Styela clava: one gene and its partners. The protein of the gene in region 1 purifies or fractionates together with the protein of each later gene. This does not show direct contact. Links are inferred from orthologs where the notes say so. Each region holds a gene or a part of one and is shown in the gene's direction. Other genes may lie near its edges. The genes, in order: E3 ubiquitin-protein ligase UBR5-like, centrosomal protein of 78 kDa-like and dual specificity tyrosine-phosphorylation-regulated kinase 2-like.

Region 1 (11,160 bases):
CTAATCATTGTGCATGATATTTTCAATAAGATGGATGAAGATAAAAATTTTTTTATATTGAAGACATTTTAGTTAGGTACAATCTCAAATCATCATCAACTTTGATTTCATTCCTTTTCTACCAAATATAATGTTAGAAATGAAAGTTCTACTCAGTCAAAAATGACTTGCATCAATCTATACTCTCAGTAACATTTTTGCAATATCAACCGAAAACTAGTTGTCGAGCATCGAAACCTGAAGTTCATTTTTTAATTACCGTAAACAAAACAATACATGACAAAACAAACAAATATACGAAAAATCAGAAAAGTGGGTAACCTGGACGAGTGGCCGTGGTTCGCCATGGTTAAGCCGTCTTATTGACTTTCTTCTCCCCCGGGATAAATATATAAATCCTATCCTAACCACTAGACACAGGGATTGAATCACAGCACAGAATTACACACATGACCATGCTTTTAAATGCAAAAACGTGCGATGTGCGGAATCTGGGATCTCGATATGGTCATTGCATTATTTGGCGCAAAAATACAAACATTTCACTCAGACTTGACTTCTAATTTATTCCTTCCTAAGTATAATAAAATACATAATTTTTTGATCTCTCGAATTATGTTATTAAGTGAAGTATATATAAGAGGCATTATTGCCAAAAATTCGCCTTGAGCAGTAAAAAAGTTTGGCACGCAATGTTGCCTTTAAAATAATCTACAGTAAAACTTCTTGTGGTATATTATAGATCAGAGGTACTCAACATCCCGGGTGAAAGGGCCGCATTTTAATCACAAAAGATGCGACGGGCCGCAGAATGTTATTGTCATGTATTTATACTAATTAATTAATTTATTAGTCCGATACTGATGTTGAATATGCTTCTTGTATCCATTTTTATTCATTCTAAAACATAGTTAACGGATAGCATTCGTAAGTTTGCAGTTGCAACTTCTCCCCTAGCGAGAGCTATGACAAAATAGGAAAAATAGAATTATACTCAACATGAACAATGTTACGATTCTTTTATTGTAACGCGCATTTCCGAAGGGAGATAGACGAAGAAAACAAATAATTAACTAATCCGTGGAGACCATTACATTGTAGAATTCTGAATTGATTTTTGCCGTCTCATGACGTGAAAATTGATTCATTGATGGTTTATATTAAATTACATATATTTTCTAATGAAATTACTTGCTATTATTCAAGTAGTAGAAAATTACCAACGTTATCCTCCCACCGCTTAAAATGATTTAAAAGGTATTGCCCGATTTTATATCGTGTCTTTTTTTTATTGTGTTCTTTTGACTGTTTTTAGTGGACGGGCACGTACTTGTATGTTTTTAACTTTTTCCTTAGGTTATGCCCGTCCTCTGCATTTTGTTTGTCCGTTTTCTGTTGTTTTGTTTCTTTCAGAGTGACCAAAATAAAATTGATTGAATCCCATACCCGACATGGAATGGTAACCGGACGAGAGGCGGCGGTTCGTAATATGGTTGAGCCGTCTTGTCGGCTTTCCTCTCCCCCGGGATGAATATGTAAATCCTATCCCATTCTAACAGGGCGAGAGGCCGCAGTTCGTCATATGATTAAGTCAATTTATCGGTCTTCCTTTCCCCGAGATGAATATGTAAATCCTATCTTTTTTTGCACGTGCAATCAATGACATTAAGCAACATGATGCGCAACTACGGCATTTTTGGCCGAAGATCGTATCCGATAGCACGCTCCAATGCACATACTTGACGAGACGAAAACGAGCGGATGTGTGCTGCTTTCAAGGCATAGCACGAATGGTGTTCGTGCCGGCTTTGACAGTTGTTGTCGATTTTAATGATATTTTGGAAAGTTGAGGTAAAAGGAAATCGGAAAAAGGTAAGGTAAATACTATTGTTGTATATCACACCCGGGCATCGCACTGTTAAGTACATAAGGGAAAGCCAGCTTTTGTCAAATACTACGAAGTTATTAATTCAGTACGGTACGTAGTTGCCCATTTGCCGAAATTGCATATTTACTTACCCCGTATGGTTTCAAATAGTTCATGCACCTCCATTTAGATTTTTTTTAATCAGTGAGGATTGAATCAAAGGGTTAACAATTTCACCTAACATTTCACTCATACCGGTCTGTATTGTATAGTCTGATCTCTCAAGTATATGGAGCCACGAATGCTTGTAATTTTCTGACTAATTTCCTGTATTAGTTGGTTTATATACCAAATTCAGTAAAACATTTTTTACATTAAACATGAGATATTGGATTTATTAGCTTTTCCATTCTAAATCATATAGACTGCTTCATTTATTCTTGACGAAAATTAATAAATCTCCTCTCTTTCTTTTCTTCAGATGTGAATGTGGACAAACCTGTCTAAGCATTGTGAGACTCCTGCAGCACAAGAGGCAATAGCAAAAATAGTAAGTATATCAATCAAGAAATAAAGCCGACATAAAGCAAAAGTTTCAACAAATCGTCTAATCTCAATTTCCTATTATTTATCCACAGGACAACTATAGCAGAAAAGGAGATATCAGAAGTCTGGTGACATATCAGTGACCGTGTGATTGCAAGAAGTATATTTAGAGTACTCCATAAATGTTTGCAATACAAGAACAACCTATAAAGGCATGCAAAGACATTTGACCCTCCGATAGAGTTGTGTATGCCCCCCACATCCTGCAGGGCTTAAGGAACATAACAAAAAATTCTAAAGCGTGAGTATGCATAATAGATTTTTCAAACCTTTTAAAGTGAAATTGATTATTCACACAGAAAACAATTTACTGAAAGTAGTTTTGGAAAATTAATTTTTTTTGTTCACATTTTGACCCAATTAAGAATACACATCAAGCTAGCAAAAGAATACTTGAATAAAACACTTGAGTGATTAAATTAAACGCAAAGTACATGAAGAAGGTGGCATTTTCAAAGAAAATGAGAGTTGCAATATTTCTGCATTTCACAAAATTCTGAAGCACATTGAACAGAAAATTTTCATGTGTTTGTATATTAATATAATTATACAACGACTTAGTTACTAAAATCAATATCAATAATAATTCAAGCAATCCAATGCCACGCAATGTGGTGCGAAATGTCTTGTCGAAAAAATCTGTCATGTGTTTTTTTACTGATCTCTACATGAAATTATAAAAATAACTTTTTTGCATTACTGGAATTAATTTTCGCAAAGATCCAAATTAGCCCATGATCATGTGACCTCGTTAGTTAGAGTTGGTACTATAAAATCATTTCAGCCTGGCCTCAGTATGCTGGTGACACAAAAAAAGATACCAAACGTCAGGACAAATGTAATTAAAAAATCATTGAGTTTATACTGTAGTATTTTTGTTAATTTTAGGTCCATATATTTAAATTAAGTAATTTTTAAAGTATGTATTATTCTTTCCTTATCCAAAGTTTGTTCAAAATGATTTTGATGGATGTACATAGAATTTTATGATTTTTTGTAATAAATACAGTAACTTGCAATAATAGTGGAATGCAAATATTAATATGTAATTGCATTTGAAATTAAAGAAAATAATGAAACTTAATCCAACTGTTTAGTTGCATCACAACATATGTCACAAACTAAAACTATCTTAAAAATATCTTTCAAGTATACATTATCAAAAACTGTTTGCGGCCCTTTTTACAATTTCCAAAATGCAATGCGGCTCTCGAAAACCCATGAGTTTGACACCACTGATCCATTCTAGACGATTCAAGCATTGCTTTGGGAAATAATATCAATTCAATTAAATTGAAAAAAATCTTGCTATATTAAATACAAAATCGTTGCTATCATAAAGGTAAACTAATTCAGCCACTCGAAATATATTGGCCTTCACAAAGTAATGGAGGCAAAATTGAGAGTTCATGAGCTATGAATTTTTGTTCTTTTCTTTGTCTTGAACTTTTCATACTCCACAGCCGCTATTATTTTTTTTTAATTTTAAATACCATGTGATTGTCATACATATCTTTAACTTTTTACTCACATGTCTGTATGTGGAGAGTGATGAATACAGTTCGTTTTCTAAGGATCTCGTTGCCTCTTTACTTTGGTTGTGCAGTTACTAGAAGCTGGGAGATTGCGCATAATTCTTCAAGGTGGGGGCGGATGCAAATAGGACTCCACTACAACAACGTTGAGTGGATTGGAATTCACGTTTCAACTTTACAATAGATAAAAACGAAAAATAAAAGTAACTGATTATAGAATCGGGAAATCTCAAGTAAGTTTTGAAGCGTGCCAATTTTAGATGGAAAGGTATTGATAAAAGAAATAGTACGTGTTCGCTCACCCAAAAGTAAAAAAAGTAATTAAGGCACGCACGCACACACACGCACACAATCATCGAGACATGATAAGGTCGGAAGTGAAAAAAGCGAGAATTAAAATCAATCAAATTACTCAGTAAAAAGAAAAATATACAAACAAATGAAAAAGAAGTAAGTAAACTCTTTTACCACATCAAATTAATAATTTTATGAGGGTTGCCAAATTGGATACCGAATTAGCCAACATGAATAATATACTGTGGATAGAAAAGTATTCCTCGTCAAGCTGATTATAATTGGAGTCACTTAATGCGAAATTGCCCCATTAGTATTGCCAAGTTGGATATATGAAGAAGTGGGCTATACCTGCTTCACTGACCAAATAGAAGCCAAAACTAGCCAAATTAGCGTCCAAATAATTTTAAATACTAATAATCAATGACAGTACAGGTAATTATAAGTAAAATTAATTAGGGCGTGATTATGTTTGTATTTCAAGTTAATCGATTAAATATTTTTTTTTTCAATATGTATTAGAATTGATATTTGATTTACTTTATGTCCCACCAATGATCTAATCAAAATATTTTTTATAAAATAAAAAAAAAGTCAGTTGGTACTTGCTACTTGGTACATCTATTTTTACGCGTGGGAATTTTCTTCTTTGACTGAGATCAGAGGTATCTCTGCCTATTGCATCTGCACGGCGTAACGTTAAAAGGAATGCATTAACACGAGGTTTCAGGGATTACCGGTTTAACTTTCATTTTCTTTCTCGTAGTCTACACCTAACCTATATACCGTATCGTTATCAGTAATACTGATGCTCCGGTGACCAGCGATTTTGCATCAGTATATCTCATTCGACAGCGCAAGTCTAAAAAAGTATGATGAAATTAAAACCGGAACGTTTAGATTTTTATGCCAGAACTACGTCATTTCAAAATAGATTTTATTTCGATTCATTCGCAAAAACAAATTAAACATATGTTCAGGAAAGATTGAAGGCAAAGAAGCTGGGAAGTGAATAACACTAATAAAATAAGTTTAAACCCTATTAGGCGCGTTCACTCACCGACATGGCGGACTGAAGAAGAAAGCAAGAAGTCATACAGTCATAGGCTGAACATGAATATTGACGGAGGCCATTACTCAGGCGTTTCACTTTGTAGTCAGGTTGCCTGCAAGTTTTTTTATAAACAAAACTGTGAACTAAAAACCAGCTGTGTGTGTAATGTCAGAACTGCAGTATGTGGCATTTACACAAAAAATTCTAAAATGAGGTTTGAATGCATGTTGTCGTTCCATTACAGGACTACTAATTGACTTCCAAGTTATGATCAATTTGCATTATTAGGCTTCCCGCTGCTTGTCATGATTAATGGACATGTTCCGGATACGATATGTCAAGGATACGCATGAGTGACCTCGGCGATACGCTCCAGTGAGCACTATAGGATTTTACATTTTCATCTTCTTCTCGAGAACGACACTACTTAGAGACTTGAAATTTACATCACATGCAGATAATAAGTCCCCCATCATAAATTGCAAATTTTATGTATGACTGACCACGCTTTCACGCTCCAGTGAACAAAACGCGTTTTCAGTTTTTTTGCGATTTCTCAAAATTGATACATGCTATTGGGTTGAAATTCATAACAATGATTAATGGACATGTTCCGCATACGACATATCAAGGATACGCATGAGTAACCTCGGCGATACGCTCCAGTGAGCAATATAGGATTTTCATCTTCTTCTCGAGAACGACACTACTGAGAGACTTGAAATTTACATCACATGCATATAATAAGTCCCCCATCATAAATTGCAAATTTTATGCATGACTGACCACGCTTTCACGCTCCAGTGAGAAAAACGCGTCTTCAGTTTTTTTTACGCGGGAAGTCTGTAAAAGCTGCACGCAGCTCTAGTTTACAAATAATATTCCCGCGAATTTTATATTCTTTTGTTCATGTATGCTGTTTAAGACTTTATTCTTGTGATGTGTTCTTCCATTCATGAAAATGTGGGTTAATCGGCACTAGCGCTGGTTCCATCTCATTTTCGTAGAATTCTAATTTTTATTTCTTGAAGATGGAAGTAGTTGACTGAATAAATGTTCTGAATTACTATAATTTTCAATCACAAATTTTTATGTCACAGCTCATACGCTTCAGTATAGTGATATACATAAAAACGTATATAGACCTACGATTTTTACAAAGTACAAAAGGATCAAGTGGTGTGGTAATTTGCTCACACATGTCGAAGTCCAGCATCCACTTTATTGTTCAGAAGTCACCTGCTAATGAAGAACAATTTCAAGAGAAGTAATATGGAATTTCTCTATTTTATAAAGTTGTTTTAGCCTTTACTTAGAATGGTATTTCATATTTATCCTGTCATATAGAAATATAGTAAAGAGTAAAGACGGCTCAATCATATGTTAATCATGTCACACCCTTTGGTTACCTATGTTGGGTATGGGAGTAGCTGAGAATTTTTTGCTTCAGATGCATGGACTTGATGGTCGAGGATGATGTTACTGCCCAGTTGTTACATGAAGTGCTAAGAATACAGCAAGCCTCTTGCACATAATTATTCCCCCAGTGGATTTGAATCCATGTTGCTTAATGGTGCAAAGGCAAGTATGTTCTAAGCACACGCAACCTCTGTGTAATTGAATCGGTTTTAAATAGCTCATCAGATAGTGCAAAATTAGTGTGTTCTATATTAAATTGTTGTTTTGTCGGTAATTAGAATCAGTATGTTGTATGATACTTGAATGTGTGTTCTGTAATTTTTTCATTAACTTGTAAATAACGATAGAAAACTTGTTTTCCAGGTTACAGGCTCTCAGTGAAAAGAGAAGTTTCTATGCACCGTCCATCGAGGATGTACCACCAGTCCTACAAGAACTTCAACAATATGAGATAAGGTTTGCCCTGACCAAATATTATCTATGTCTAATATGTTTCATGTATTCAACTCACTTATCTGTGATAGTAACCAGTAATTTGATAGTTTCGGCCAGGCGTAGCTAACGTCTTTTGCTGGATGGCTCAACACTGTATTTTCATCATGAAAAAGAGGAATATGGGTCATAGATTCATCCACAGTCTGCATCAATGAGGAACTTGCTGTTTCGTTCCACAAGTCTTAATAATCCTAAATAACTCTTAATGAAGCGATTTTTGCTACTTGACTATTTAAAATTCATGTGGGAAAACAATAATTAATGTGAATCGAAAAGCATTAATAACGTCAAGAGTTGAATTACTTTGTTACGTCGTGAATATCGTTATTGTTGGTAGTAACTGCATACCCAATAATATATATGCCACTCATTTGTCTCTTACACTCTAAACAAGTCTCTGTACAAGCCGCCACTGATATCTTGTTTTATATATTTTTATTATCAGGCAATGTGTGGTTTCATCGAAGCATATTGCTTTTCTTCTCGAGGATGGAAGAGTCTGTCGGGTAAAATATTTTGCCCACGATCCACAAGAAGAACCTGAAATTGAAGCAACTACTACCACAGCTACATCTGGTGCGAGTAAATCAACATCTACAAGTAAAACAGGTGAGATATCAGTTTATCTGTTTATGGTATAATATTTTGATAATTTCACATACTATAATAAATCATATGGAAAGAATAACTTTCACTTTCATATAAGTGTAGCAAACTGAAGAATAGTTGATCAAACCTTTTCAACTTTTGAACTTTCAAGCATTTATAGAGTCTGATTCAAAATTCTTAATTTGTTTGTATTGCGGACTTTCAATGGTGATAAAGTGAAACAAAACTTAAAAAGCATTAATTTCTATTAAAGAAAGCACATATATGCGAATGTTGTTTTTTTTAATTTGATTTTCAAAGTCGAAATTCTTCAGAATTCTGGATCTGAATCAGATTGATAATATTTCTCAACTCTGCGTTATTAGAGCTAAAGCTTTGTTCAATCCTGACCCAAAAGTTGAAGTCGATTGTAAATTTTCTCCGACTCCACAGTTCTGGTTGTTAGACTTATGTTTTGAATTCAACACAGAATGTGTTGGTGTCATTGTAATTAAATAACTTAATATTTCATCTTTAATAATTTGTCCTTCGTATATTCAATTTTAGGAGAGAGACCACCGAAACTTCCTCGAACAGGTAGCACACCATGGATAATATCAGGCACTGATTTATCCAGTGGCCATTCATCTGCTCTACGAAGATGGGGAACACATATTGGGGTGATTCGTTCGATCGCGTCTTCTTCTGCCACCACCAATTCATCATCAGTAACATCAGCGAGCACAACAACTGCTCGACATCGAGCAAGAAACAGCGGCTCAGATGCAGCGTCTTCTCTAAGCGCAAGCGGAGTGAGACTTGTAAGAACTTCTCAGGTAAGAGTGAATTCATTGTGAGGTTGAATTTTGATTAAAAATTTTGTGTACAGTGCTTTTCGATATCTTGCTCAAAACAAGCATTTTTTGGAAGGACTGAAATTTGTCTATTTGTCTGATCAGGCATTGTACACTTGATTCATTATTGAGCATTGTATTTGTACTTAAGTGTGTAACCTGCGATGTCAACACACTTAAGTCGTTGCTCCAGAAGTATGTGTGTACCAAACTACCAATATGGAGGTTACTAATTTTGTTCGCCTACTTTACATCAAGTTATGTAAAGGGACTGAAACCTATGGGCAGGGGGTATATTCACTTGGATAACACAGACAATCCCTGAACTTGTAATAGAACTAAAATACGGAAAATCGGAACAAAATTATGGCCTAACCCTAACCTGGTACACACACTACAGCAGTACCCTTAAGTCTAATGGTTTAATGCCAAGTGTTCTGAGTTGTGCACCTTAATCCATATGAAAAGTTGATTTGACTCTTGACAGTACATAACAATTTTTGTATCAGTATGGAATTAGTTACTATCAATGTTTGGATGCCTATACTTGATTTGGATTACCAAATTAATAGAATTCTTAAATTGAAATAAAAAACATAAATATAATTCTCAATTTTGCTGATTTTGCGAACAATGTTCTATAAAACACAGGTTTACTTGGGGAATACCACAAAGCAAATGTTTTTATAAAAAACTATCATAAAAATTTTGTTACAAGTGGGAACATTTGCAGGTAAAATGAGTTACGTAAGCTAACCAGTTTATTAACACACATTTAATTGGGCTGTTTGTTTTCAGCTGCGTGGCCGTGGATTACAAAGCTCGTTACTGACTGGACAGAGAGTGATTGTACCTGCTTCCCATGTGCCTGAAGAGTTGGTGAACCAAGTACAGGTATTTGTGTAGTTAATGTAGAATGTGGGACTGCTACAATGGTCGGGTGATGTAATGACTTAAATCACTTGTGGTAACAGTCTACAACTGTTTCAAGGCACACCTCCCTTTGGCTTTTTTGAAACTCACATTCATCCTTGCCATGCTTGATGCTCTGTTTGATATTCATGTCTAAAATATTCATGTTCATTCACATTACAATATTACTAAATATCAGTAACACTACTCACAAATATGAGGAATGTTGGATTTTCCGTTTCGGTCATCCATGGACTGTTTTGACTAATTTTCAATCGGAAATGGATGGGTGTTAATCTCAGGAGATGTTGAGTTACAAATTTAGATCTTCTATACTTTTATATTCAGGGAATACTACAAGGCAAGTCCAGGAGTATTATAACTAGAGAGCTTCAAAGAACAAACCTCGATGTTAATTTGGCTGTTAATAACTTGCTGAGTCGTGATGATGAAGACAATGATGACATGGATGATAACGGTGAGTCGCGATTTAGGAGTGGCAATTTTTTTCCGTTATTTAAGATCATTTTTGTAAATAATATTATGTGTTGAAAAAAAAAATTTGCATTTACATGTTATCATACTTGTTTAATTCACAAAAAATTTGTACTGTACTAATCATTTTCAACAGTTGCATTGAAGGAACTTGCATATGACAAAGTATTAGTTATCAAAATAGAGTTTTGAGTCGGAGGTCAAAATTTTTCTTTACCGATAGTCACAGTCGATTGTGAATTTTCTCAGACTCCATAACCCTGATAAGTAGTTAATTCTGCGCTCGCATAAACCTAACCGATAGCACTCATTTTAAAATTATTGGTTTTACTTTGCTTAAACAACAGGTAGCGACTATATACCAAGTGAAGATCTCTTATCATTACTTGATTCTGGAATACATCCCGGTGAACACGGAGTTTTCATTGATTCTGATGCTATTCTACCAGATGAATTACTTGGATATACTTTTCAACGGGCACCGAGGTTTGTTTTTGTGTTCTTTTTATTTAATGGATTCTGACGTTCTTCTGCCGTTCATTATGTATTTCCCTGAAATTCAAGTTCTAATGGCAGTAAAGCTAGAAGATTTGCCAAAGTAATTACTTATTTCTTTCTGTTTGGTTAATAACAGAGTCATTGATGGCTAAAACTAAATATCTTGTAAATATTTAACGGACAATAAGTCGCATTTTAAATCCTTTTTTTTCTCAAAATCGACTGTGCGCCTTATAAGCCGATGCGTCTAATATATAAATCGGGTAGTGCTTTATGCTTCATTGTCTAAACTTAAAACCAGTGCAGTATTGCTTTAATAAGTACTTTCGAGCCGAATTGACAGTATGCCTTATAATACGCCTTATGTTCTGTAAAATATGGTACTTGCTTCCAAATTATATATAAAATAGAAGTACCGTATGTTTTAATTTATTCTTAATTGGTGAGATAAATGTAATTGGTTACATAGTCTGAATTCATTATCAATCATTTCAAATTACTGGAAAGTACATTCTGAACAAGGCTTTGTATAAGTCAAGGATG
Region 2 (10,656 bases), on another chromosome or scaffold:
AACAGAGGGCTGTTTCCGGATTCTCCAATGGGATATCGTTTATTTTGGCGTGTCATCATTGCGATTGAATGAAAAGAGTAAGCGCAAAATACAGAACAAAAAAACTTGTGCACACAGAAACAAACCGCGCAAAAATAACAGTTGCCCCATCAACCCCCCAAAATATTTTGTTGAAAATGGACTGTGTGAATTTTCGGTAAATCTAATATTGCTTGATTATTTCTAATACCTCTTTCCCTATGCAAATTTGCAGTGATTTTCAACCTTTTTGGAACCTCGTAACACTTAGATCACGAATTTTTCGCGAAACACTATATGAAAAAATCTTCGATTTTTGGAAACTATCCGAAAACACGATAATCCCTACCAAGATTACAGCAAGACCAATAGCTTATGACTCGAGTTGTAAAGAGACGTTAATTTAACAAATTTAAATTTATCACTACAAAGAACAAGAGTACGCCAATAGGAATCAATTTCAACCTGGCTGTTTGTAGCGAATAGCGATGCAATATTAATATGATATATGAGCTTGTTTAGGTGAGCTTCAATGATTGTTGGTTTCTTATCTGTATGATATAACGCGCGGTCTGTATTATAAATAAGTTAATAAACTGCCTTGATATAGCTAACTAAATTATTCTCCCGATGTCATAAGCCTCCAAACGAATATTTTGGTATCGATTTGTTTATTACGTATTGATGACCAATCAGCAATACAATAAAACTAAAATTTGGGCGGCCGCTTAGATCGGTTCTATGTAACATTTGTCAGTTTTCATTAATGTCTCTAAAATTTAGACATAAATAAAATAAGTCTTTCACGCGTGAAAAATTCTACCTGTACTTTTGTCATTGACTAATTTTAATGCTTCCTTTGAGAGTATTCTACGTGCTACGGCATTTGCAAACAGTTTTAAAATCAATACCATCTTCTTGAATATCTGGGCAGCTGTCATTAAAAAAAATGAATCTAGTCCACTTATTAATATATATTTATTAATATATATATCCTAACTTTTTCGTAATCGTTTTTTTTTTATTACATTACTTCAATTGGACCAAGGTTCCCCCGCGTGACCAAGATTCAAGCAATATTTTTTAAAACAAGATGAATGACAGCTTGATTCAAACCTAAATTCTAAAAACATGTAGAAATTGACCAATAACGCCTGACATTACCAAACCGAGTCAATATTCACGACAATGCTTGAAAATAGCGTCTGATTAAATTTCAAATGTTACGTGTCCGTTTTGCTTTTTAACTATTGTCACGGAAATAAACTAGGAAGTCCGTTTCGAGGAAAACGTTAATTACACGCAAGAAAATCTTCTTAAAAACTAAATATGTGCTTGGTGAATTTTCGATTTCTTTTTACAAAAAATGGGTACAACTATTTGACGCGGAACATCGGTTGAAAATCACTGTTCTATATAACTGGTTTTCCTTTGCGCTGTTTTGCACTTCGTACTCTTTGTTTCAATATTCTAATGCTCTCATTTCTGTAATTTAATCACAGAGTAAAATGCTATTGTCCTTCGATCTAGTTGCTTATACAGACCCTATTTCCAAGCATATATCTGATTGAACACACCAAATTTTCAGTAGTTACTTATGCAGAGCCTGATTCAGGGCAGGGTTGTAAATTAAATAGCCATATCTTGTCTATGTGTCATGACTAGCCTACAGCATGTATGACCATTTTCGGAGACAAATCTCAGCCAAATGATTCAGCGACGGCCAGTTTTGTACACACAGCATCGAGCTTTGCTTCGCCTAAACAATTTGTGTTTGATTAACAGAAGAAAATATGGTGTGATTTCACATAATGGATAGGAAGTAGATGAGTCAGCCAAGATACTAAAACGTTTTCAGTTGTGCAATATAATGCAGATGGAAGCGGTCCCGTCCTGGGATGGATCTCTATGAAATCATTTCCGTGGTTGCCTCATCCTCACTCTCAAACCACATACAGAAAAATTCAGACTTCCCTAGTGGGTGATATTTAGTTTCCAATTTATTTTTTGCAATTTTACCTGATCAGTTCCCTTTCTGTTGTATCTTCTTTTTAAGGTAGAGTCATGACATCTTATCTTAATTTCGTTCTCTGATAGTTAGAAGACTATCAAGCACGACACGAGATCAAAACTTAACGTCCGGTGAAATACTTGTTTTCGGACTACGAGCCTACGACTCGGATCATTCACAGCTGTCAGGAAATGTATTGCTATGATTCCCTCGTTTTCTCATAATGCAAAGAATCTGAGTCCTGTTAACAGCTGGTATTAACATCTTTGCCAGAATTACTAAATTTTATTTTAACTTGATATGAATGTGCCTACATATGCCCCCTTCGCTGGTATGTGGAACATACCCTATTGTCTACAAAAAATAACTGTATAAATTGTTCAATGTCAATCTAAATAAAACAAATTGATTGTGTCTGTTGACTTAATACTTCAAGAAACAATGGAGCAATGCTCAAATATATGGACACGGAAGCCAAAACAAAGTAGTACGGGTATGCAATCTTTCTCACAGTACCGGAAATGTATTATTGTAGTCCTCCGGACTTCAACCCACCTCCAGAACGCAACAAATCTCATAGTCATAGAGTCCACAGAAATTTTTGAACTAAATAAAAGTAATGGGCTTCTAGCCACAAATAAAATTTCTGAAAATTTGAAAGTTTTTGGTCCATTAATGAAAAAAGCGATTCTTCCACAATAATAACAACACGGAAACAAAAAGAAAAAAAGAATACCTCTATCAACAACATACTATTAAAAATCGAATTACATTGAGTTCACAGAAATTTTTGAAAACAACAAAGTAATAGCCGACAACAACAATCTTTGATCAGCGAAAATTTCAGTAATTGGTCTTATAAATAAAGATAAATTTTCACAACAACAGGAGGTAAAATACAAAATGACAAAACGATCAATAGATTCATTTCGTATCCAATAAATATAAATTACCCAAGATCAGTGAATGTCACATTTGATATATCATTAAGTGAACAAATAAACGAATACGGGAATGCTCGAATTTAAGACAATAAATAATGATAAAGTATACCTGAATATGAGATAAAATTTTGGAATTGAAGAATAATTCTAATATTCAAAAATATAAATATAGTAGGCCTAAAAACAATTCAACTAATATAATAATATAAAATTTATACATAAGTTTACCTGAATTGTTTCATGCATAAATATATATTCGTTTCATCTTCGTAATTTTGATTCTGTAATTATTTCATAGTTATATTTATACTAATATTAATGTAATGGGATACTGAGTGTAAAGACTGAAAACTTATCTCTTATACGCAATTTTAGAAACTTACTCAACATTCAAATTTGTCTCTAGATATAACCAATTCTTAATTACTAATGGAAGTTTCACTAGAGTCGACATCAAACGCGTTAAGTTTTTATTTTATTAATAATCTCAGAAGGGTGCTGCTAAACAATGGATATTTCCTCGACCTTTGGTACCAAAAAACTTTGTTCTCTGCAATTCACCATTGCAAAACACAACTAAAAAATAGCATACTAAATCAATCAAACGAGCTAATGTTCACCACCACCATACCTGAAAATTTGTGGAAAAAATCTGCACATGAATAATTTTTTGGTTATTGATATTATTCATTTATTTGTGATTGTGTTTTTAATATGTGTTTCAAGATTCTGTAGTTGCTCATGGAAGAATTGAATTACAGTAATTCAATTTTACCATCTATCCATAATGTTTTCCGACCCTTGACCCCAGTAAATTTACAAATTTTTCGAGGTCAATTTTGGCGAGTTTGCGCTTACAAACTGGTTTACCTTTTAAAAACCATCATTTTTTTTTATAAAAGTATTCATCCCTTTGCTGCTTACAGATACAGATAGCTAGGTAGCCTAGTCCCTTGTAGCTTTTCCAGGGCCAGTTTTTGATTATTGCAACTAAACAATAGCTCGTGGAAAGACATAATTACAATTAAGTCATTTGATTTACTACAACCGGAAACTCAAAAATAACACGCAAAACAACGAAAACAAGGCAATGTTTACCAGAGTCGGATCAATTGTAATTTGTAATTGATGTAATTAATTACAGTTTTTCTTGTAATTGTAAATGTAATTTGCTAAAATTTTGGCTCAATTACACTTTCAATTACACAAGGGATCACCAAACTACGGCGTCCTTTCATCTAGCCCGCAATAATACGAAAAAGGGCGAAATATTTTTCCAAGGGGCTTTTCCGAGAATCGCCTTCCTTTTTTATTTCGTAACATTAGTCAATCAGCAAGATGCGAAAAAGTGACGTTACAATATGCCTTTTCGCATCCAGTCGTGGTTGTAAACAATATCACAGTTTGCAATTTCGAATGCTATTCGTTAGTTTTTAGTTGTGTTTCGGAAATTTAAGTTTAAATCAAATAAGTGAATTATCATATTGCCTTCTCGCGACGCGACGCTTCTACGCGAAACTCGGAATTTTTTTTGAGGGTAGCGGTAGCGTCAAGGGTAAGGACTGCTTCGCTCTGTGTAACGTGTCCATATATTTGAGCATTGCTCTGTTGTAATTGTAATGGGCCTTTCCCTGAGCATCGACTTCCTCGTTTACTTCGTGACATTGGCCAATCAGCAAGATGCGAAAAGTGACGTAACAATGCTCCCTTCTCGCATCCGCTCAGACACTTTTCTCACTCAGACAAATTTTCAAGCGTGGTCGTAAACATTACCTCATTTTCGCGTTTTTGAACTCTATTCGTTAGTTTTCTGTTGTGTTTCGGAAATTTAAATATAAATCAGATAATTCAATGATCACTCTGTCTTCCTAGGAGTTTTAATTTAATCGCAGTAATAAAAAATTAGTGTAGAAATAGCTCTGATGGACTAGGCAAAAATTCTTTACCGGTACTTTTAAAAAACAGATTGTTGTATGGTTTGAAACACATACCCCATTTTACAGGCGCCAATTCGCAAAAGCACTCTTAAAATAGCCCCGAAAATTTTGCAATGGTAAAGTATAGGAAGAATTTTTCGGGGGTTAAAGGTCGGGGAAAGGCCCATGTATTTGTAATTTGATATTTTTTGCACGGAGTAATTGAAATTGTAATGTAATTAAAACATTTAAGGGAGTAATTGCAATTGTAATTGAACTGAATTTATGTAATTGATACAACTCTGATGCTTACACCCATTCTTGAATGGTTGTCTAAGCTAAGGCTCTAAGCGAATAAAGTGTCCGATCGGCTTCACGAAATTCAATTGTTACATCATTGTTGAGTTATTGCCGATTGGTCATTGTTACGGAAATAAACAAGGAAACCGACGGTCTCGGGTAAACATCCATATTCCATACCGTACATCTCAATCAACGACTAACATACCGATCTCAATGCATAAAATAAAAAAATGGTTCCATTACATTTGAACCCACGTACATTTGAACCCATGACAATTGCACCTGTATGCTATTGCACCTATGGAATTTTTTTTGTTTCACGGATAGTTAAACCCATACTAACCCTAACCCATGGGTTTTAGCACCCGCATATAGATTGAACCCGTGGATATACGCATGGGTTCAAATGTACATTTGGTACATTCGGCGCGGCGGTGTGGCTCAACGGGCTAAGCGTTAGGAATACGCTCGCCATCGCACCTCTAATTACTCTGCGTGGGTTCGCAGGTTCGAATCCCATGCAGGGATGGTTATGTGCGAGAGGATTGCTGGACACCTCGCCGTCGTTGGGTGGTTCACGTAACCGCTGGTCGGTTACGGCTTCCTCCACCACCAAGTCCATGCTTCCGAAAAAAACAAACAATACAGTAAAAACTAATTCCATACCCGACTTGGAATGGTAACCGGGCGAGAGGCCGTGGTTTGCCATACGGATAAGCCGTCTTATCGGCTTTCCTCTCTCCTCCGGGATAAATATGTAAATCCTATCCTACATGGGTTCAAATGTACGGTCACCTAAAAAGATATATTTGAGAGGGCGACCGATGCGCCTCGATGCACATGAGTAAGCCATTGAAACAACAAACTTTGAACTGAAAAGAAACGTTGGATTGCCGATTCACTTTCTTCGTACTGTCGTGCGGTCGTTCATTCATTGTTCTCTTTCTGCATTGTTCTGGCTTTTGAATTACGCTATTGTAATTTGAGGATTGATCATTGTAACAGCAAAGGAAAAGAACTTTTTTTATAAGTTCTGAATTGTCGCAATTTACTACTGTATGACTATGAGCATTTTTTCCACCTAATATCTGGAATATAGTCACATAAATTCAGAAATTTAAGCCAGAATCAGATAATGTCAGTCGCTCCAGAAAGTGTTTCTATTCGACACCGTGGCTCATATGATTTTGAAACACATTACAGTAGTTTATGTTCTCTGCAAGATACTGTTCCATTGCTTGAAGTGAAGGTAAGAAGTCTTGATAAATAATTTGACATTGTTGAATGTTGCTTACTCGTGAAAAAGACACCATATTTCATAGAAATATGAATTTTTTTATACAAATGAATACATTTTCCTTTTCATGGCTGTGTATTATTTTTTCAATATTTCATAAATAAATTTCTATTTCAATATTGGTAATGTTAAATTATTCACAATACATCTGCTCATTGGCCATTGCATTGATTGATTCTACTTTCATGGCGTTCTAAATTTATTGCAGCAAAGTTTCGGAAGTTTATAGGCTATTGTTATGAATAAAGATTTTGAATATTTTATCTTAAAGTAGACTAGATTAAAAATTATTTCAGTATTTTAACATCAAATGAAAAAAATGCATTCAAGAAATATCAATCTTATCATACTTATTGTACATTGTATATAATACCTCATTAATTGGGCTACTTATTCTTTATTTTGTATTGTCATAACTCTGTATCTAGCAAATGTAACATTTTTTTGCAAGCATCATGGCATCAACCTAGTAATAGGAATCCCACACTAGTCAAAATATTTTCAACACTTCTCACTAAATAATGGAATTATCAAAAATCTTGATTCCAAAAATATGAGAAATTTCATATGATGTAAGGGACAGGATATATTTTGATATTTCTAAATTATTATAGGTTACTAAATTCTAATGTTGCTCAACTAAAAGCTACCTTTAAAATGATCTTACTTACTCTTATCTCTAACTAATAAGACATTAATACGTAATTCATTTTTCCAACTATATACTTATTCAGATATTTCTAACTGTTCAAAAGGTTTCCATTCAATTTTATTGGCATCAGTGTGGGACTGTGATGTATTCTTTTATTGATTTAGTTTCATTTTTGTTCAAAATTGTATTGTGAAAAGCTGATCACAATGTCTTGATCATTAAAAGTTATACAGCAATTATCATTATTAACATTAAGTAATTATATGTCTGTATATCGAGTGCTTTTAGATCTTGAAATTTTTTGGATGTACCGGTATATACAAAGGAATTGGTCAAAAAAGTATAACTGAACAAAAACTTATTTTTGCAGGCACATTTGGGTCAAGGAGTGCTTGACATAAACAGTGATAAAATACGATTGGTTGACTGGTCACCTGTTCTTAACTCACTTCGGATAAACAAAAATTTGAGATTTATTGCAATTCGAAGCTACTATTCACAATCAGCGGAGAAGGATGGTATATTTCATTTTGTTAATTTCAACAATTTAAGGATATTCAAAATAGTAAATGGTAGCCTATTTGAATTCTGAACTACCTGGTTACCTAACCATTTATTCAATATATAATATGGGATATTTTTTACCAGTTTTGCACTTGTTAAATAATTATTTTCAGATCTGTCAACCACTAGCAGTAAAAGTATTATGTACTTCTTATTAATTTATTAACCATATGGTAATAGAGATTTCACGAAATATATGTGTTCCAGGGATGGCTAAAACCGACTATTTCATTGTTACGAACAAATATTGAATGCACAAATTGGGGGCAAGTTCATGTGGAAAATTACATAAATCACTATATGTTCATGTTATATCATATCTAAAACGACATAAATATAAGGGTCATTGTTTTCTCTGAGTTGTTTGTTACCAGTTGAGATATTGTGCTTTAATATCCGCTTGTCTGACAACTCAAAATCCCTTAGTTGCCACCAGCATATCCGAAGCTGTATGCAAACGGGAAAACACATGTAGCTATTAATATAATTCATTAATAGGCCTACAGTTAAATTATTAATATTGTTAAAATCAAGATGTGCAACTCACCTGAGACAAGTAATCATCATATATTTACCTTGCAGCTTTAATATGCTTCTGATTATTCATTCTATGTCTTATGTGATGCTGGGAGTAGGTTCAGGGTTTTTATTCACCCACGACCCACCTATCAATTATCTGCCATAAGGCCCATAACGTATATTTGTATTATATACACAATACACTATACACAAGATCTATTTATTCAGGGGAACAAAAGAAATCTCATTATTTCAAGCGTCGACCACCAGCAATTCAATCCAAGGATATGACACTGCGATTAGCTCAAGCCATTTCTGAATGTTTGAAACAAACAGAAAACTTGAAGTGCTTGGACTTGCAGGGAATTCCATTTCGAAAGAAGGATTTGGCTTTCTTGTCAAAGGTGGTGTTTGCTAAGTTTTGAGTGTTTGGTTTTTTTTTAAAACGATTCTTCATTCCTTTTTTCTGGCTTTTGCTTCAAACAAGGCCTTCTATGTATCCCTCCGATATCTAACAATATGTAGAAAGCTTCTATTATTTCCAAAAACCAGAATCATTCAGGCTCAATATTGGCTTCTCAATTTACACACTAATGATACGGGGGGCATGAGATTTGAACCCAAGATGTTAGTCTGCAATGTCATCACAGTTAAGTCGAACATGTTAACTGCTGTGCCATCCCGTTTCTCAAATTATATTTTTGCCACTGGTCTTACTGAGATTTAGCATTTTTGGTGATCAAATTTGCTATGAGTTGTTATTTTTCAATGTGAGATTTATTCTACTTGTTTTTGAATAATTCAATTTATTAGCCATTTTTTATATCATCAATTATGTTTATAGGGGCTTGAAAGAAACACCACACTTACTCATGTATCATTGGAATATTGCTATATAGGAGATCAAGGATGTGAACGTAAGTATAGTTGAAGCTCTTTTTGAGCTTTGATATGTCCTATAACATTGAAACATTTTATATGCATCATTTTTATTAGAATAGTTATTATTCACTATACTTAATTCAACCACGGTACAAAGTCAGCAACACTTGAGTAAACGTTGAGTAGATAGTCTATAACAGGGGTGTGCAACATGCGTCCAGCGGGCCACAAACCGGCCCGCAAGCCATTTTGTGGGGCTCGTGTCAACACTCCCATCTCCATATTTTCCCCATCAAGCAAAAAATCCTAATCCGACAGTTTATGTTTAAAAATGCACTCACACAGGGAAAAAAACATACTGTCGCTGACTTAAATCTTTCGCCGTTTTGCCTGGTTGGTGACTTTATTACTAGAAGGGTAAGCGATAGCTGTATTCTCTTTTCTTGCCTTTTTCGCGGTGCTCTGGTTGTCATTCATTTTTTAATTTGTTTTGTACGGGGAAAAACTAATTTTTTTGTGTGGGCCAGCTAGATGTCTGAAGTTGGTTATATGGCCCTCAAACATAAAATTGCTGCACACCGCTGGTCTATAATATTACTGGGTATGACCAGAAATATATTTCATAGAGTGAAGATGCTCTTTAATTACTCATAATGTTTGGACACTTTATTACTTATGACTAGGAACATTGAGCTTTATATTTTTCGATTGACCCATGTGTTTTTTTACAATGGGCTATTTATTTGATCATTTTTTTTTATATACGGGGTGTCCAAAAATTTCCCCCAATCTCATAGTAATAACAATTAAAAAGTTCGCCCATCTTATAGTAATAATTCCTCCAGATCTAACAGCAAAAACAATTGGAAATTTTGCACGATTTTATAGTAATAACGATTGTAAATTTAAATATATTTTATTGTATGATAAATGAGAACTACAAGCACAATCAGAACTATTAATAAACAAAGACAAAGAAAATTTTAATTGCTAAATCGGGGATTTTTTGGACACCCTGTATTAATCTTATTCTGTAATCTTCAATCGTTTTGGTTTCTATTCAGAAATATGTGAAGCCTTGAAACATCATTCTTCATTGACTCATTTGAATTACACAGGATGTGGTCTTACATGCAAAAGTGCTGAAGCTGTAGCCAAATTGATAAAGGTTTATTTCAAGTCTATATTGTCATTTTCTAATTTGAATTATAGATCCAAACAGATCTCATTTAGAGGATTTATGGTGTGATATTGAATGAACAAATTAAAAATAATTCAAGTGGATTCAAATGCATAAAAATATTTTAAAATTTTGTTATATTTCATTTTTTACCATTCTGAGCCATGTAGAAGCTGAGGATATATATGTCTGTATTCCATAGTTGGTAGCTAGAGATGTTTCACTGAGGATGCTGGGTTCGACTCAAAATTGCTCTTTTGCTCATAGGTGAAATTTGTACTCAATTTCATTTGTATTTCCTGCCTTTGCTATTATAAAGCATTCTGGAATACTGAATTGAATGCTTATCAAACCTTTTTATGATGACACA
Region 3 (10,784 bases), on another chromosome or scaffold:
TTTTATTACAGCCTTGTCTGTTTTGTGTGACCTCTGCGTACCGGCAGTAATCTTTCCGTGGACCGGCGATGGGCCGCGGTCCGGTGGTTGCCGACCACTGGCCTAAATAGCATATTATATTAACTACGGTTATTCCCCCTTCATATATATTCGATAGAAGGATGTATAATTATTTACTTCACCAGCATGAGACGAAAAAAATTGATTGTTCAAGAAATATAGTAATTCGCCGGGGATATTGATAAATTTCCCATTTTAAAAAGGTGTTGGTCGATATTACCCAATTTAACATTTAAAAGGTTCATGCTTGCGTTGAAGGATGGTGGGCTTATTCATTTTTCTTCGGTTCCGATTTAATATGACTATACCATCACGCGGGAATAAAGTTTAAGTTTAATGCTAATTTGGAAATAATACTATTTGGAGATAGCAGATTAATATCAAATTAACTTCGTCTCACTTTATTTTACACGCACTTATTAAGTATTGTTGCTGACGTATACGAAACCGCTGGAATCGTATTAATAAGAAAATCGTTCCCCCGGTTTAAGAAGTTTTATTGTACTCTGGGCACAATTTTACAAGTACTTTAAGGCCGTTTGTTCGTGACGATTGGCATAATTCTTGGGATAAATTCGATTCTGAAATTGATTATTGTTTATACTATGATCGACTTTTCTCCCTACTATTGTTATGTTTGTGGCCACTCTGTACAGGGTTATGGTGCATAGACTTTAAAACTAGATTTAACACCTCGACGCGGGGTCCATATGTGGCCACTGCTTAATATGTCCGTATTAGCGAACGAAGTCACACGGAGATGCTAATTACTATTCATCTTTGTAACAGAAATTTGACGAGTACTGCGGTCAAATGAAGTAATTACATACCAATTACGGTGACGCGGCTTTACTTTGTTCACAGATTGGTTGGTTATTCGCTTACAAACGTCAAATTCATTTTCACTATTTATACAATAGTATAACGCAATAGGCGCGTCCGCACAGCCTTCATTAACCACCACCGCAATTAAGGAAAAATCGAATGGCTTTAATTCATGATAAACAGGCTCACGCGATTGCGATTAAACCCGGGCGCTTGGGAAATCACGCTAAACCGAATCGACTTTCTCGTTGGCTCTAATCGAATTTTGTGTAGCGGATAGTTCGTGCAAATGTTTAGATTGGAACGACAGTGGAAAGTTTTGTTTTTGTGTCGAACAGTGTTTGGAATATCTAAATTAAGGAAGGACAATGATGATTTTTTTAGTGAAAATTATTACTTCCGAAACCTTGTCACCGATGTTTCATGGGGTACACGATAAAATAGTCCCATGAGTGATATGTATCAGGAACATTCTCACACGCTGGGCGTGTAACTTGTGAAAATCGCCATCTTGATTCAAGAATGGGACTATATGTAATTTCGGAACGGAATCATAGTGCTTTCAAAAAAACTTTGCGTATTACGCTAGCCAAGATATATTGGACAACTTCAGGCGAACAATTTTTTTTAAATTACTTCGTTCCCAATTTAATTATTTAACTTTGTCTTGTTACTTGCTCTCGTAATGTATATTGCCGTGGAAGTGTTATATCAAAATGACATCAAAATCAGTGCACTATATAGTTATAATGTTATGTATTTTTAACAGGTCTTAAAATTATCACCCGTTCGCATGTTCTTAACACCTTACAAACGTATTTGTCACCCTGGAAGTGACTGTGGTTGTCATTATGTTTTGTCAAGTTTATGCAATAACTTTGCCAAGTATAGATGTAGATGTGTCGATCTCGAATAGTAATTTCCACCCAGCGCACATGCTTGGCCCATAGTTTTAAATAGACACAACACCTGCTGTCACGTACAAGTCGTCATAACACATCAAACGCGACATTGGCTAATATTACAAAGACCATCTTGGGGAATTATCAGTCTGACTTTATTCTGTGTGGGAGTTACTTCTTCATACTAGTAGAGAGAAATTGATAACAGTTATGGTAATGTTGACTTTATATTGTGTGCACTGTGGGATAGTTTTAGTATACTTTTAGAATATGAATGTGTATATTATGACTGAAGTGATAGTTGTATACTTGAAAAGATGTGACTCATCTACAATGTATCGTGCAGTTTCTCGTTTTAGCCGCATTTGAAACTTAGAGTAATAAAGTGCATTCAGTAGAAATGAATTCGTGCCCACCTTCCAGTAATGAATTGTAGCTCTGCAATTGCAATATTTACACAAATGAATGTAAAGGTTTTATTTTTGTTCATTTCTACTCCTGAACAAGAAACTGTTCACTGTCCGAGTCAATGTCGTAAATCAGATCATCATCAATCAGTTTTATTGGCTGTCACATTAGTGCGATCTAAAATAATGTCTTCTAAATAGATATACGTGAGTCGCTGTTGTCAGTTTTAACGCAAGCTCGTTCTCGTGTCAACGTTGGAACGTTCAATCTTTTAATAGGGTCTGTCGTTATAGAGCTATAATGAGGTTATGGCTGCGGGCAGTGGTTTTAAAAGACGACTTGCTCTTTTAATTGGCATTAACTAGGTACGACTCGTATACGATTTTCCAATAGCAATTACTTAGGCCATGTTAAGGTCGGTTGGGATTGCGAGGTGTTTTATTAATATAATACGCCCAAAAGCATGGCATACGTTTCTCTCTATGGGGCCCAAGCATGAACGACTCGAATTGGTTAGCGAATTGGGCAATGGTATAGAGAAAATTGATCCGGACGGACAAATGTAATATTATCCTATTAGGCGCAACAGGCATTGCTAGGATTTCAGCGTTCCTAAACTAGTCGAACAATAGAAGCGAGCTGTATACACGTATCCATGTATCTGTCAGCTTTTGAAAAATGTACACGGATATTTTTATTAAAGACCGGTCGTGTTCAGTGCGTTTCTGAATGAAGTAAAGGTTATATTACCTACATAGAATTCAGTATAGCTCTTTATTATCATATTCTCAGCCGCCCTGTGAGTGATATTAAGTAAAAAGAATTAGTTGCTGCGTCGTTAGAAAGCATTATCAAACTGACTGCCCAAAGAGCTTGCACGTATTTAGTAATGTGAAATTATATATAAGATCAAAGGATAGTTTCTGTGTTGTCTTATTCATAACACCTGATCTCTGGTATGTTGTCTATATCGACTGTATGATAGATGTGTCCGTTATCTATTGTGGACGACGACCCAATGCCTGGTTGCCCCCACATTTATACATGGCGCCTTGGGTAATTATTTATTTAATTATGTTGTGCATTAATGTAAAAAAGTTTTAGCTACAGTACTTTACGTATAATTTTTTTTTTGCTCATCATTGGTACATAGTGGTGCTGCTTGTCAAAGTATTGGCAACCTATTTTTGACTACTAATTAATGGTAATTATCAATATTATTCCAACATTTTAGAAAGCATATACGCGCATTACTCGTAATAAAAGGGACCCGACTATGGGAACGTAAGGTTTTATGATTCGGGATCTTGTTTCTGTTTAACTGTTCCAGAAGTATGTAGTACGTCAAATAAATATAGGTCCCCACCGCGGTCTTTCTTCGATTCAAAGATATCGCTGAATTTCATCCACAAAAAGATATAATATTATTATATTAAAAAATCTGTAATATAAATTCCTTCATCAGAACGCAAGATTATAAAGTCGTAATTATTTTATAAATAAAATTCTAATACCAGCACCCGACTCTACATGTTGTTACGAGATTACCCCAGAGATTGACTTGGCATTCATTCTGTCTACCGCGAGAGATATCTGTGATCTGACCCACTGCCCTCAGCTAAGAGCTTTTAGTTTGCAACCACAATTCACTTTGAAACTCTTGCTATGATAAAGATTATCACCTAATGGTTTAGTCGGCGTCTAATTGTGCGTTTCAGGCCCGGACACAGAAATGAAAAGGCCTATTCGTTAAGATAGATATTTGAACAATTTCAAAAGTTGGAAATAAAATAATGCCGAAACAAGTGCAGTAAATTACACAAACTACGTAATCCTTAATTTTAGCGCGGTCCGGACAAATAAATCAATGTCTATGAACTTTATGCTCGTGCATTATGCTTTTGCGACTTATTGCTAGATCTAACAAAGATGATATATGGTGCGCCATGGTAATTGTTATAATATGAGTGGTCATTTTACGATCCAGTAAGCATATTATTAAATCTCTTTGACCTAAAATTAAAGTGTTGTTATCATGAGCCGATTGTTTCGCGGCATGGCATTGGTATTTAATGCTGTACTGTAAACCTATTTTTTATAAGTGTTAACGAATTGGTGCGGTACATAAATGGTGAAGAAATGTATATCGCCATCGAAACTCTTCGCGCTAATATACAAACAAAGCAGGCGTTATTTTGCAAGTAGCGAAACTATCTATCATCGAACGTCCAGCGCCATAATTATCTGGCAGAAATCACGTCTCAAGTTTTCAATTATAAATTATCATTGACCTAGGTAATATAATTCTAAACAATATTTGATTTATAATTGTATTTCTTGATCAATAATTTCGACTCGGTATATGTGATTCGGGGGCGAATGTTTCTCTGATAAGTTCGATGGGCCCTGTATGGATGACTCTTTTTCGATACATACCTGCAAGGCTTTGCCGATTGGTATTAGGGATCAAGGCAGCACAAATGAAGCAGTTCTATACCGTGACCGTTTTTTTCTGTGTACTTTTTAACCGACGCGGAAGTGTTCACGCTTGTCAGTCAATCTGTGTTCGTTTGACACATACTCATCACGAAACTGTTAAAATGATTGACCAGTATTGTTGTATGACAAGCAGTGTGTAACAGTGCGTGGTCATGATTCGTCTAGCAATACGTCGTCACGAAAATTTACCGGATCATTTTTGAAGGTTGTAGCATTTAATACCTCTGAAACCTAATTGAGTTTGCCCGTAATGAATCCGGTACAGTAGTGCCCTATGAAGGATGTTAATATCATAATTGCGGAGTATATGATTACGGGGTAACTTTACTAGCGTTGGAGAATAACTGCAATTGGTTTTCACATACATATTAAGCTAATTAACCTATGCTTACCGTTACACCGCGTGAAAGGGTAACTCGGAGCGGAGCAATCGGCATATTTCCTTTGAGGATGCAGGCAATACCTTGAAAGTGCAAACGTGAAGTTTCTAGCGCCACTGGATTGCAGACAATCTTATATACAAAGAGTAGGAGATATGTTAGCAGGCTCGAGATTTTTTTTATGTGCGCGGGTTTGAATTTGTTTGATCAAAAATTCCGAGGTTTGAATAATTAGACAGTAGTCCGTAAATTGACAGGTGTTTTGCCTCGCTGTGTGATTGACCCGAAAAGTATTTGCATAATAAATTTATTAGTTTTACAATCTATTGAGACAGAACGGAGTAGGATTATATTCAATCCTGTTTAAATAAATGTTTTTTGTATCGACGCAAACGACTTTCTTTATATTTAATTTCGAAAAAGAGTTCAAATAGACAGTGTACAAATTATTGTACAATTTCAACCTGGGCTGAAAATTTAAATAACTACATTCATTACTAAGACCACGCGCGTGTAGTTGAGACGATGATTCGTATTTTAGAAGTCGCGCGTACTAGCTGTCTTGTCAGAAAATCTCGGATTAGGTTTTATAAATAGCATGTTTGTTTATTCGCGTAATTCTTAACTGATACCTCTTGAATCTTGGGAGTATTGTATTTGAACTTGAAGAAATCCGGCTTGAAGTCGATTTCGAGAAATGGTAAGCCAAGCTTAGGTAGCAGGACGCCAGTGGCGATGTTCTCTGAAGGTATAGTTTGAATTGTCCATTTATGGGTAACTTCCGCGGGTACATACGTAGAAGACTAAATTGAGTTTCTCATGGTTGTATCAAAATCATCCTTTCGGGAAGTTTTTTGTGATTATAATTGTGCGTCATTTAAATTTCGGCGGAATCAAAGCTGACTAATTAGCCAAATATATGTGGATTACGTCACGCAGACAGCGTCAAACCAACAATGGTTCGTCTCTCGCGGGATGTCGTCACATTATGCAACAGCTGCAAATGTCCTTACTTTTATTCGAACTTATTACTCTAGACGTCGAATGGTGCCAAAATTTTTAAAAAGCCCATGGTGACGTTCAGTTGTCTTTACTCACCGCAAGGAACAACTGATAAAATGTTGTGATTTACCCGGAAGAGTATTGTTGGCAACACAAAGGAAAGGGATGTGATTTATATGTTTTGAAATGGTATTCAGGGTTAAAATTAAATTTGTGCTATTACCAACACTGCAGTATTGAAGGTCGGGAAGACTGGGAAATCTGATTTATATTTATAGTAAAGAAGAAGTGTGTCCAACATGTTTAATATTGATATGCTAGTTTATAACCGATATTCGAAAATAATATTTGTGTTTTATTGGACAGATGTAATGGGGCAATAGGTGGAAAAATTACATTTTTTCACTAAAGATTTTAGGTTTTTAGTGTTTTTATCAATTGCTGTTATCTGAGCCATAGGATACTATGCTTTTCAAAGAAGCAAGGAATCAACTTCATTGAGTTTTTTTAAACATGCTGACGAAGAATATTCTTACCAGTATGTACAGCCATCACCACAATCATCATTCAAGGACTGTACAAGATCCTGTCAACCATGTTGGTTTACCGCCACTTAAAAGCCAAACAGTTGGAGGGATGAACGATATTACCGCAGGTTTAGGAGGATTAAAAGTTCAGCAATTGTATGAAGAACATGGCGATGGTACTAGAGCTGCAGCTCGACAGACCAAACATACTTATGGAAGTGCAGGCAGACGGCCTTCCTTGCCATTAGTTAAAGACACACGTGCTAAGGATGTTTACAATGAACAAGTACAATTAAGTGGTTCACCAAGTCGCAGAGCACTGGCAGCTATGTCACAACAAAGAAAAGGAATAGCTGGCTCACCTCCAGTTGAAAACGGTTCAGTTGCCAGTGGTTCAGCTAAATCTAAAACACAACAAAACTATCTCACACCTGAACAAGCAATGAAACAATACATGCACAAACTGACTTCCTATGAGCATCATGAAATTTTTAGCTACCCCCAAATTTTTTACACTGGTCCGACAGCGAAGAAAAGGCAGGGTGTTGTAGGTGGTGCTAACAATAATGGATTTGATGACGAGCAAGGCTCATACATTCCTGTTGCTCATGACCACGTCACATATCGTTATGAGGTCTTAAAGATAATCGGCAAAGGAAGTTTTGGACAGGTAATATTTTAGTTTTGTTGCAATTGCCTTATCATTCTGCAATCTTGCTTGTCTAAATTTATGATTTACTTATTCATAACCATGTCTTATTTTCAGGAATATCGATATTCAATCCCAAGAATATCGTTATTGATTAATGGATTATGATGTTCACTTTTTTATCACATACTCGATGTACATATAGTTAATGTTACAATTTCATTGTTTTTAACATGGCAGGTCTTAAAAGCATATGACCATAAAACTCAACAACATATTGCTCTAAAAATCGTTCGAAATGAAAAACGATTTCATAGACAAGCAGCAGAAGAGATTAGAATTTTGGAGCATTTGAAAAAGCAAGATAAGGTAATATATGCATGTGTATAATAATAATATACTTTCTACACATTATGTAGTTATATTCATGGAAAATTTCCTCAAAGCTGTAATGTTATAAGCAGTGCAGCTTACCGGCATATCACGTTTCTAATTTTGTTTGGAAATTGCTGTAATAAAGATTTGTCTACCTTTTAAATATCCGGAGAACGAAGTATACTTCCTCTCATATCATATTCTACCATGCCCTTTTACCTCAAAACACCACTTATAAATATTAAATTGCATAAGATGATATGTCTCCTATTGCATTTTGTGATTGTTTCCCATAGAATAACTGTGAAAAATTTCAATAGAATATGGTGGTAAGTATCATCTTATATCAAACTTCATAGTACAATAAAATTGTATGCCATCAATCAAAGAATAAATCTGCTATATGGTTCAAGAGCAGGCTATGCTTTAGTTTGACAACTTGATGAGTACAATTTCAGATTCAATGTTTGTAAAATGCCAGTAAATTTGATACAGTATTGTTGCAGCATAAATTCTCATCAACACCCCATATATTATTCATAAGGAGAATGTCGTTAGATGGTGTTATGCATAGCTTTTCATGTTTATGGAAAGTCTAATCTATATAAACTGATTATAATATAGAAAATTTGTGAAGCTGTCTACCCATTTAATCAATATTTTCATTACCAGCTATTGTTAACAGTAATTAAGATTATCCTGGCAATGTTACAATATATAACATTATGCTTTGTTTCTTGGTGTAATTCTGTAGAAATTTATGGTTTTTCCATAACCAACTGACTGTATTAGAATGTTTGTTTTATGAGCAAATATTTGTTTTTGATTCTAGAAATTTCTGTTCATCTTTTATTTCAAATTTATCACAACAGGATAACAATATGAATGTCATTCACATGTTGGAGAATTTCACATTCCGAAATCATATATGTATGACGTTTGAATTGCTCAGCATAAACCTTTATGAGTTGATAAAGAAAAATAAGTTCCAAGGCTTTTCACTTCAGGTATATACTGTAAACGTTTTTATTTTCAAGTATTTCTATATACAATGTATTTGAATATAGAAAATAAATTGTTCCATTACTCTTAATCATAGACATACTTTTTTTGGCCTGCCATTAAATCATGCAGCGCTTTGATCAATGTATTAAACGAAATTGGATTTTTAATTAGACAGCTAAAAATTGACCATTCAGCATTGATTTTTTTACTCTAATTTTCCATTCCAGTGGTCTGTTCATAAGAACTACTCATTCACACTTTGTCATAGCCAATTCTCACATCTTTTTTTGTTCCATTTTATCTGCTTGGTTGGCTACGTATAATGTATATTACTTGTTGAATACTAGTGTATACATTGCTTCCTAACAACCTTTGAGTGTCATCAGACTGGAAAGAAGTAAAAACACACCCAAGACTGCTAGTCTTTATTATATATTTATATATGTATTGTGTTGTTGCTCTTCAATCAACTTGTATATGCTATTATATGGAATAAAGAGAATAGAGTGGGTGGTTAATACTGGATCAATGTTGCTTATAATTGATAGATTCATAACAAATTATGCTCTTTTACGAAAACATGCCAAATATTACTATTATTAAATACTAATGGTGTATATCAATACCAATACTCTTTATTAACAGAGAATAATTAGAATTATTACATGAATGCTTTCATAAAATTTTCATAGGTCAATCTTTGATTAATTACTAAGGGTTTAATATCCATGTAGATGATGGATTAGTAACAATTATGCTATGAGGAAATTGCTTATTGTTTCGTCTCACAATTTATTGTTACATCACACTATCAAGAAGAATGTCATGATAAGAATGTCACATTTTATTTCAATGATCGATACTGTGAATTGATTTATTGTGGTAATTTTGCTTAAATATTTCTGGAAGTAAGCCAGTAGAAGAAAGCCACACTGCTGTTATAGGAGACACAAGCAAACACTTGCTGTCTGTAGATGTATTTTTGTGCAAGAATTTTAACATGAAGTGTATAATTTCCTCAAGATCTACTTGATTTTTTGTAAAATTCAGCTTTACTGAGTTAATAAATAATCCGTTCTTTCACAGCTTTATTAAACTGTGTATCCTATGGTAATAAAATCCTATTATTTTTACAGCTTGTTCGTAAATTTGCTCACTCCATTCTTCAGTGCCTTGATTCTTTGTACAGAAACCGTATAATTCACTGTGATTTGAAGCCTGAAAATATTTTATTGAAGCAGCAAGGCAGGAGCGGAATAAAGGTATGTGATTTAATGAGTAACAACCTATATTCATGATCTCGTTGTTGTTTCTGAGATTATAAGACATGATTTGCCTCGTAGTATTTTTGCCAATGTCTATTGAATACAATTTGTATATATAATGTTTACTCTTAACAGAATATTTTTAGAATGATTGGGATCAAAATTAATTCTAGAAAATTCTAAATTCTGGAATTTCAAACTATCCTGATTTCTGTATAATAATGTCATCAAACATAATTTGCATACCGGTATTCAATAATTAACACGTAACAGCTGGGCTTTTGAGCGGGTAATCTATTCAGTATGAATAAATCATTTGTACATAATTTATATAATGGTATTTCTCCAATACAATTTGCGCATTTTGCCATATGTAGTTAATTGGCACTCATGAATTTACCTGAATGATTGATTTACTAGTTACCATTTCATTAACTTGTGTTACATAACATGTCCTTTGTTTAGGAGTAAATTTCAAAATAATTCAGATAATCTCCAATTGCTTATGCACATTTATGTAGCATAATAGCTTACCTTGAAGTATACATAGCATTCTTATCTCTTATATTCATTGTCATGTATATGAGTATCAGTATTGCCAGAGGGTAAATTATTTGAAATAAAGCATAGCAGTACTTACATGTATATGTTATGAAAATTATTTGGTGTATGGGTTTGGTTTATAGTCCTTTTAGATGTTCTTGATTGTCATCCAGCTTGTTTTGCTAAGACTGTTGTCGAGTTAACATCCATTAAAAAATTACCAACATTTGGATAATTGTTTCTTGTATAACAGAAATGTTTTGCTTGTTATCTAAAGCCTGTTATTCTTACAGGTTATTGATTTCGGTTCGTCTTGCTATGAACATCAGAGGGTTTATACCTAC

The links.
Region 2: the proteins of E3 ubiquitin-protein ligase UBR5-like (region 1) and centrosomal protein of 78 kDa-like purify together in Homo sapiens (affinity purification with western blotting; 3 studies listed by BioGRID, with this or other methods). This does not show direct contact. The link is inferred for Styela clava from reciprocal best matches to the Homo sapiens genes UBR5 and CEP78.
Region 3: the proteins of E3 ubiquitin-protein ligase UBR5-like (region 1) and dual specificity tyrosine-phosphorylation-regulated kinase 2-like purify together in Homo sapiens (affinity purification with western blotting; 3 studies listed by BioGRID and IntAct, with this or other methods). This does not show direct contact. The link is inferred for Styela clava from reciprocal best matches to the Homo sapiens genes UBR5 and DYRK2.

Annotation. Positions count from the first base shown.
Region 1 is NC_135263.1:5,824,285-5,835,444, forward strand, and holds the start of E3 ubiquitin-protein ligase UBR5-like, read left to right. Parts: upstream 1-6,460; 5' UTR 6,461-6,555; coding exon 6,556-6,623; intron 6,624-7,138; coding exon 7,139-7,231; intron 7,232-7,715; coding exon 7,716-7,879; intron 7,880-8,425; coding exon 8,426-8,694; intron 8,695-9,510; coding exon 9,511-9,606; intron 9,607-9,972; coding exon 9,973-10,102; intron 10,103-10,466; coding exon 10,467-10,605; intron 10,606-11,160. UniProt on the Homo sapiens protein: E3 ubiquitin-protein ligase involved in different protein quality control pathways in the cytoplasm and nucleus. Mainly acts as a ubiquitin chain elongator that extends pre-ubiquitinated substrates.
Region 2 is NC_135252.1:10,889,401-10,900,056, forward strand, and holds the start of centrosomal protein of 78 kDa-like, read left to right. Parts: upstream 1-6,050; 5' UTR 6,051-6,327; coding exon 6,328-6,441; intron 6,442-7,511; coding exon 7,512-7,659; intron 7,660-8,452; coding exon 8,453-8,628; intron 8,629-9,068; coding exon 9,069-9,141; intron 9,142-10,170; coding exon 10,171-10,274; intron 10,275-10,656. Other genes in the region: carbohydrate sulfotransferase 10-like, read right to left, coding at 3,202-3,215. UniProt on the Homo sapiens protein: Centriole wall protein that localizes to mature centrioles and regulates centriole and cilia biogenesis. Involved in centrosome duplication: required for efficient PLK4 centrosomal localization and PLK4-induced overduplication of centrioles.
Region 3 is NC_135256.1:16,016,502-16,027,285, forward strand, and holds the start of dual specificity tyrosine-phosphorylation-regulated kinase 2-like, read left to right. Parts: upstream 1-6,440; 5' UTR 6,441-6,589; coding exon 6,590-7,273; intron 7,274-7,492; coding exon 7,493-7,621; intron 7,622-8,499; coding exon 8,500-8,634; intron 8,635-9,768; coding exon 9,769-9,894; intron 9,895-10,733; coding exon 10,734-10,784. UniProt on the Homo sapiens protein: Serine/threonine-protein kinase involved in the regulation of the mitotic cell cycle, cell proliferation, apoptosis, organization of the cytoskeleton and neurite outgrowth. Functions in part via its role in ubiquitin-dependent proteasomal protein degradation.